Macaca fascicularis: one gene and its partner. The protein of the gene in region 1 binds, or shares a complex with, the protein of each later gene. Links are inferred from orthologs where the notes say so. Each region holds a gene or a part of one and is shown on either strand. Other genes may lie near its edges. The genes, in order: ERCC3 and POLR2D.

The links.
Region 2: ERCC3 (region 1) and POLR2D share a complex: the UniProt entries of both Homo sapiens proteins name them as parts of the TBP-based Pol II pre-initiation complex. The link is inferred for Macaca fascicularis from reciprocal best matches to the Homo sapiens genes ERCC3 and POLR2D.

Annotation. Positions count from the first base shown.
Region 1 is NC_088386.1:4,262,111-4,265,918, forward strand, and holds part of ERCC3 (general transcription and DNA repair factor IIH helicase/translocase subunit XPB), read left to right. Parts: intron 1-68; coding exon 69-253; intron 254-1,645; coding exon 1,646-1,848; intron 1,849-3,808. UniProt on the Homo sapiens protein: ATP-dependent 3'-5' DNA helicase/translocase. Binds dsDNA rather than ssDNA, unzipping it in a translocase rather than classical helicase activity. Component of the general transcription and DNA repair factor IIH (TFIIH) core complex.
Region 2 is NC_088386.1:3,674,884-3,679,154, forward strand, and holds the start of POLR2D (DNA-directed RNA polymerase II subunit RPB4), read left to right. Parts: upstream 1-1,470; 5' UTR 1,471-1,495; coding exon 1,496-1,568; exon of another isoform or gene 1,569-1,790; intron 1,791-4,271. UniProt on the Homo sapiens protein: Core component of RNA polymerase II (Pol II), a DNA-dependent RNA polymerase which synthesizes mRNA precursors and many functional non-coding RNAs using the four ribonucleoside triphosphates as substrates.

The DNA of each region.
Region 1 (3,808 bases):
AAAAAATATTAAAAAATAAAAAATAAGAAAGAAAAGTGACCGTGTGAACGCTCCCATTGTTTCCTCAGCCAAGATGTTTCGAAGGGTGCTCACCATCGTGCAGGCCCACTGTAAGCTGGGTTTGACTGCAACCCTCGTCCGGGAAGATGACAAGATTGTGGACTTAAATTTTCTGATTGGGCCTAAGCTCTACGAAGCCAACTGGATGGAGCTGCAGAATAATGGTTACATCGCCAAAGTCCAGTGTGCTGAGGTAGCTGGGCCTGGGCTGGGGGTGTCTGGGATAGGGCCTCCTCCCGTGGGCCGGGGAGTGATCAGATCGATTCCTCATGGGCAGACACAGGTCAGGACTTAGGCTTACCTGCTACCACCTCAGGCAGGATCCTCAGTCACCCTGTGAGTGGGTGGTACTAGACCCACTTGCTGCATGTATTCTGCCTTGTCACATATCTCACATACCCCTGAATTTGTGATGATTCTTTTTGCTAACCACGGGGTTTACCAGTCATGGATTTCTGTGGGTGAGGATTAGCGTTCAGGGCACAGGGAATAATGAAGGCCCCCAATACCACAGTGCTGCCTGGGAGCCTGGCAGCAAAGGGTTTTGCTCTGATGGGCCCAAGGGCCTAACTGACATGCTCCTGGCCCTGCTAGGAGGTGTGTAAATAGGTGGCAGTACTCAGCAGCAGTGCTGACTTGTGTGTGTGGAGGAATTGCTGGTGCTACCGGCTAAGACGCTGGTTTCCCTCACTGGCAGCTGGTGTGAAAATAACTCCTGGGATATGATTGCATTTACACATCTTCTAAGTGGTTGACATGTGAAAGCATCCAGTTCAACAGGAGGTATTAGGTTGGGTTTAGTTTTGTGCATGTGTTTATTTTCAGTTGTATTGATTTCTAATTCACATACCATTGGTTTTGGTTTTTTTGTTTGTTTGTTTGTTGTTTTTTTTTTTTAAACAGGGTCTCTGTCACCCAGGCTGGAGTGCAGTGGTGTGATCTTGGCTCACTGCAGCCTCCGCCTCCTGAGCAAGTGGTTCTCCTGCCTTAGCCTCCTGCATAGCTGGAATTACAGATGTGCACCACCACACCCAACTAATTTTTGTATTTTTACTAGAGACTGGGTTTCTCCATGTTGGCCAGGCTGGTCTCGAACTCCTGGTCTCAAGTGATCTGCCTGCCTCAGCCTCCCAAAGTGCTGGCATTATAGGCATGAGCCACTGCACTTGACTGGTTTTGTGTTTTTTTTTTTTTTTTGAGACGGAGTCTCACTCTGTCGCCCAGGCTGGAGTGTCGTGGCCGGACCTCAGCTCACTGCAAGCTCCGCCTCCCGGGTTTACGCCATTCTCATGCCTCAGCCTCCCGAGTAGCTGAGACTACAGGCGCCCGCCACCTCGCCCGGCTAGTTTTTTTGTATTTTTTAGTAGAGACAGGGTTTCACCGTGTTAGCCAGGATGGTCTCGATCTCCTGACCTCGTGATGCGCCCGTCTCGGCCTCCCAAAGTGCTGGGATTAGAGGCTTGAGCCACCGCGCCCGGTGTGGTTTTGTTTTAAAGCTAATTCTGCTAGAGAAAGGTCTTCAAAAGTTTTTAATTATGTGATGTTTAAACTTGTAAAATGACCCCTGGTTCTTACTGCATCACAGGTTTGGTGCCCTATGTCTCCTGAATTTTACCGGGAATATGTAGCAATCAAAACCAAGAAACGAATCTTGCTGTACACCATGAACCCCAACAAATTTAGAGCTTGCCAGTTTCTGATCAAGTTTCATGAAAGGAGGAATGACAAGATTATCGTCTTTGCTGACAATGTGTTTGCCCTGAAGGAATATGCCATTCGACTGAACAAGTAAGAACTGAAAACTTGGAGCTTCCTCCAGGCCAGTTTCTCTTCCCCATTGAGAGTGCAGAAGGTGGCTGTTGTTTTGTTTTTTTGTTTTTGTTTTTTTGTTTTTCCTCTCAGGAACCTCTTGGGATCCAAAGATCTTGTTCTGTGGCCCTGGTCTCAGTAAACCAAGGAAGACTTAGAAGTAGGTGGTTGGAGTCAGAGGTTAGAGCATAGAGAAAAGGGGGCTGGTCACTGGAGCCCAAAGAACAGGGAGCAGAGACTTGGACTGAGCTGGGTGGGGCCCCCTGGAAGATCTGGGCTCCAAATGTGGGTGGGAGTTGGCATTTGGAGCTTTGGACTGTGGGAGCTCTGTGGGTGGAGAGGAGGCCAGACTGGATGGCCTAGGGGCTGGGAGGGCAAGACGGGCTGGGCTGGCATCCCACGTACAGACTGGCATCTGGAAGGAGCTTCTTAGAAACGCCCATGCAGTATCCTCATCAACCCATAGCTCCAGCCAAATATCTGCTTAAAACCCAGCTCTTGTAAAGCTCTGCCAGGTAAGGAGGAAGAGGCCTGCACTTGCTCCCACAGTGATACAGGACTTCAGGTGCGGTAAGTGTTGCAGAAGGCCAGGCCCTCTGTGGAGACTGGTCAAGCTGTCTGCTACGTGTACCATACATATGTTTTACTTAATCCTCACTTCAGCCATAGAAGATGTTGTTCCCATTTTATAGAAGGGAAAACAAAGGCATAGAAAGATTAAGCTTCTCAGGTTTCTAAAATTATACCTTTATTTAATTTAGAAAGACTTTTTAATCCAAGTCAACATTTAGATTATTATGAAAAACAGCAATTCCCTGCTTCTATTTTCCCACCCACAATTCTATTCCTTGAAGACAGCCACTTTCCACTCTTTTTTGTTGTTTACCTTCATCTTTCTTTCTTTCTTTTTCTTTCGCTCTTTCTTTCTTTCTCTCTTTCTCTCTTTCTTTCTTTTTGTTTTTTTTCTTGGAGTTAGGGTCTCACTGTGTCACCCAGGCTGTAGTGCAGTGGCATAATCACAGCTCACGGCAGCCTTGACCTCCTGGGCTCAATCAGTCCTTCTACCTCAGCCTCCAGAGTAGCTGGGTCTACAGGCATGTACCACCACACCCAACTAATTTTTATATATTTTGTAGAGATGGGGTTTTGCTATGTTGCCCAGGCTGGTCTGAAACTCCTGAGCTCAAGCAGTCCTCCTGCCTTGGCCTCCCAAAATGCTGGGATTACAGTCATGAGCCACCACACCTGGCCTACCTTCATCTTTCTAAGCAGTAGCTTATGTAGTAATTTCTTGATGATCAGTTATAGAAATTGCCCATTAACTTCCTACTGTAGGAGTTGAGGGTTTAGCTTTCTCACGTACACTACTCTCCCCACTCCTGTTTTCTCTCCTACCATTCTCCCAGTATGGGAATAGCACAAGTTGGGAGTTACGTTAATATTCACTGTTACATTGTTTTGACTGTGTAAGTATGTTTAGAGAGAGCCATATAGTGTCATTGTTCAGGCGGAGGTGTAGAGTACTATTACTTTTTTTTTTTTTTTTTTTGAGACGGAGTCTTGCTCTTTCTCCAGGCTGAAGTGCAGTGGTGCTATCTCGGCTCACTGCAACCTCCACCTCCTGGGTTCAAGTGATTCTCCTGCCTCAGCTTCCCGAGTAGCTGGGACTACAGGCACCCGCCACCACGGCCTGGATAATTTTTGTATTTTTAGTAGAGACGGGGTTTCACCATATTGGCCAGGATGGTCTCGATCTCTTGACCTCGTGATCTGCATGCCTCAGCCTTCCAAAGTGCTGGGATTACAGGCATGAGCCACCATGCCTGGCCCTACATTTTCTTTTTTGTGAATATTTGTTTGCCTTGGAGTTAATAATTGCCTTGTCATTGTTTTTGCTTGGTTTTCTGTACATTTAATTATTCCTCTCCAAACTCTTCAC
Region 2 (4,271 bases), about 590 kb from region 1:
GGAATGCAGTGGCGCAATCTCGGTTCACTAAAACCTCCGCCTCAGCCTCCCGAGTAGCTGGGATTACAGGCGCCCGCCACCACGCCCCAGATTTTTTTTTTTTTTTTTGGTAGAGAGAGATTTCACCATGTTGGCCAGGCTGGTTTCAAACTCCTGACCTAAGGTGATCCGCCCGCCTCAGCTTCCCAAAGTACTGGGATTACAGGCGTGAGCCACCGCGCCTGGACTTTGCCTGTTTTTTTTTGGCCGGTCTCTCTCTCTTGCCCAGGCTGGAGTGCAGTGAGGCGATCATAGTTCACTGCATCCCTCAAGCGATACACCCGCCTAGGTCTCTCCAGTAGCTGGGACTACAGGCGCGCACCACAACGCCAGGCTAATTTTTGTATTTTTTAGAGAGGAGGTCTCACTATGTTGTCCAGGCTGGTCTTGAACTCTGGAGCTCAAGCGATCCTCCAGCCTCGGCCTCCCAAAGTGCTGGGATTTCAGGCGTGAACCACTGTGCCCGGCCCAATTCATTTGTTGTTAAATCAACAGAGTTTACAATATGACCTTCTAAACATTGTTGACTAATGAGCTAAGATATCGTTGACTAATAAGCTACGATTATTTCCTTTATTGTACAACCTTTCGTTTTCTCCAGTGTAGAAAACAGCATCATTTTTCATTTGCATTTCTTTTTTCTTTTTTAATATATATATATATATATATATATATATATTTTTTTTTTTTTTTTTTGAGACGGAGTCTCGCTCTGTCGCCCAGGTTGGAGTGCAGTGGCGCGATCTCAGCTCCCTGCAACCTCCGCCTCCCGGGTTCAAGCGAATCTTCTGCCTCATCCTTCCGAGTAGCTGGGATCACAAGCGCCCACCACCATGCCCGGCTAATTTTTGTATTTTTAGTAGAGATAGGGTTTCACCATTTTGGTCAGACTGGTTTCGAACTCCTGACCTCAGGTGATCCCGTCGCCTTGGCCTCCCAAAGTGCTGGGATTACAGGCGTGAGTCACTGTGCCCGGCCGTCATTTGCTTAATTTTCTATGCATCACCCAAATGTTCCAACAGACGTGTGGTAAAAGCCTCTGAATATCATTGTCCGCGTGCTCAGAAGTATTAGATAATCCATCACAAATGAATAAAATTTTAGAAGTGTAAGTCAGTGAAAGAAATTCGACCCGGCACGTTCGGAGTCGGCTGCCCTGCTCTCCATCAGCAGGCGTTCCTGCAGCTCATCTGACCCTCTCCGCCCAGAAAGGCCTAGGGACCTACCCCAGGACGTCTGCGCGGCGAGGCGCGAGGGAGGAGAGGGAGTGCAGGGCGGCCCTGGGCGGCGGGGAGCCTCCGGGACAACACCAGCAGGTCCCCTCGCTGCGCCCCGCCAGCCTCACACTCCCGGCCCCGCCCACCCCTCGGGGCCCCTCCCAAGACCACGCCCCTTCCGTGGCCGTTGCTCCGCGCTTCCGCTTCCGGCGGCGCTGGTGGTGGCGCGCGACTCAGCGATGGCAGCAGGTGGCGGCGATCCGCGGGCTGGCGACGTAGAGGAGGACGCCTCACAGCTCATCTTTCCTAAAGGTTGGGCTCGGGGCCGCCAGACTGCCCCGCGGCACTTCGCGTGGTCGCCGCAGGCCTGGCGTTATCCGCGCTTCGCCCAAGGCCTGGCCTCGGCGGCGGCTTGGGCAGACCCCCGCGCGGCGTAGGGCTGGGGAGGGAACGTGGACCTGGGAGTGGCCGCCTGGGCAACTGGGTTATTTTATGTGATAACAAACTGCGAAGTTCCGGGCGCTGGTGTCAAAGGTAAACAAAGCCGGAAACCCAGGTGGTGAGGACAGATTTTTAAACAGGGATAGAACGTTGCACTAGGGAGAAGAGTCCAGCGTGAACCGAACTCAACTTCGATTAGTACCGAACCTCTGGGCGTTTTAAAGGAGAGTTAGGGAATAAGGATGTGGTGAGCGGGGGCTCAGGGGAGTCGGGGAAGTGAGAAATGTAAAAAAGAGGGAAGAGGAGGGTCCGTGTGAACCCACCTTGGTTTGTTGACTGCAGCATCTATCGAAGTTAGGCCCCTACCCTCCCACCGAGGCGGAGAGACAGAGGCCTGTTTTCAGCCGTTGGCTGGAACAAACAAATTATTTTGTTTTTTTTTTTTTTTTGAGACGGAGTCTCGCTCTGTCTCCCAGGCTGGAGTGCAGTGGCGCGATCTCGGCTCACTGCAAGCTCCGCCTCCCGGGTTCACGCCATTCTCCTGCCTCAGCCTCCCGAGTAGCTGGGACTACAGGCGCCCACAACCGCGCCCGGCTAATTTTTTGTATTTTTAGTAGAGACGGGGTTTCACCGTGGTCTCGATCTCCTGACCTTGTGATCCGCCCGCCTCGGCCTCCCAAAGTGCTGGGATTACAGGCGTGAGCCACCACGCCCGGCCCAAACAAATTATTTTGGCAGCCTCGAGTTTTCTCAGGCACGCAGTGGTTGGGGAGGGTATTCCTAGGGATAAGGACCTCAAGACCTCAAGTGATCCATCCACCTTGGCCTCACAGAGCTGGCATTACAGGCGTGAGCCACCTCGCCCTGCATTTTTTTTTTTTTTTTTTTGAGGCAAGATCTCATTCTGCTACCCAGGTTGGAGTGCAGTGGTGTGATCACAGCTCACTGCAGCCTCAACCTTCCCAGGCTCAGGTAATCCTCCCACCTCACTTCAGCCCCTGGAGTACCTGGAACTACAAGTGCACACCACCACACCTGGCTAGTTTTTGTATTTTTTTTGTGGAGACAAGATTTCACCATGTGGCCCAGGCTGGTCTTGAATTCCTGGGCTCAAGTGGTCTACCTGCCTTAGCTGCCTAAAGTGTTAGAAAGTACAGGTGTGAGCCACTGCACCGGGCCTATTAATGGTCGTGATGACGGAACCTTACTAAAATTTCCAGATGACATACTGGCCAAGGAATTGTTTTCCTTTTTTAGCAACAGGGATTAATTATGGCCATTGTTCTTAAAATATTTGCACAAGAGAGAATAACATGCAGATCCCCTGATCTGTTTCCTTTTGTTTCCAAATAAATTGTGTGTGTGTGTGTGTGTGTGTGTGTGTGTGTGTATGCTTTCACTTGAAAATGTTTATTGGAATTAGCCATGGGGAGAAGTCTTGGATTCCTCCTCTCCGTAGTTATACAAAAGTGTCTGAACTGCCTCCCCCATCCCCATTTTGTTGATGCCGAATCCTGGGAATGCCTCCCAAAAGCTCTGTGGTAGGTCTCAGACACCCCTTTCCTAGGCCCTCTGAGTTACAGTTTGGCTGCCTTGACCTTCCTTGGTTGAAGGGAGTGAGGGTAATGTATTAGTAGTACTTGAATATTGTTCTTAATGAGAAATAGGGACAGCTGACTAGTTTCCTGGTGGCCTAAAAGTTCCATTCCTTTCCATTTAACAAGTAATTTTGGTTTAGTGCAGAAAGGGAGGCATCTGTTTTGTTTTGTTTTGTTTTTTTGAGACAGAGTGTTTCACCCTTGTTGCCTAGGCTGGAGTGCAGTGGCACAATCTCGGCTCACCGCAACCTCCACCTCCTGGGTTCAAGCGATTCTCCTGCCTCAGCCTGAGTAGCTGGGATTACAGGCATGTGCCACCATGCCCGACTAATTTTTGTATTAGTAGAGATGGGGTTTCACCATGTTAGGCTGGTCTCGAACTCCTGACTTTAGGTGATTCACCTGACTTGGCCTCCCAAAGTGCTGGGATTACAGGCATGAGCCACGGCGCCCAGCCTGGGATGCATCTCTTAACATTGATTTTTCCAGGACCTGTAAAAGCATCAAAGTTCCAACACACCGATTTGTAACTGATTAGCTACTTCTTCCCTTTTTTGTTTTGGCCTGATGTCATTTGTTACTGTCGCTTCAGAGTTTGGAGGTCCTGCAGTCCTGATATATAATGCCTTTTCCTCTACTCATTGCTGTGAGGCAGTAGTTTCTTCTGTACCTACAGTGCCTCAGTGTTAAAGATTAAAAGTAGTAAAGTTCCTGGTATACAAATAGGCACTCACTGTAGTACATCCCCTGTTATAGGCTGGAAGACAGAAAAAGGTGTTCTGAGGTTTTTGTTTAAACTCTCCTGCCCTCAGGTAGAAAATAGCTTTTGGTTACCTATTTTTTTATTTAGATTTTAATTTTATTTCAATAGTGCTCCAGCTGTATTGGTAGCCTATTATATTCAGTAGCAATGAGTACCTTTCAAATAAAAATAGACTTTCCTCCTGACCTACCACTTAAACTGTCTGTGTCGTGA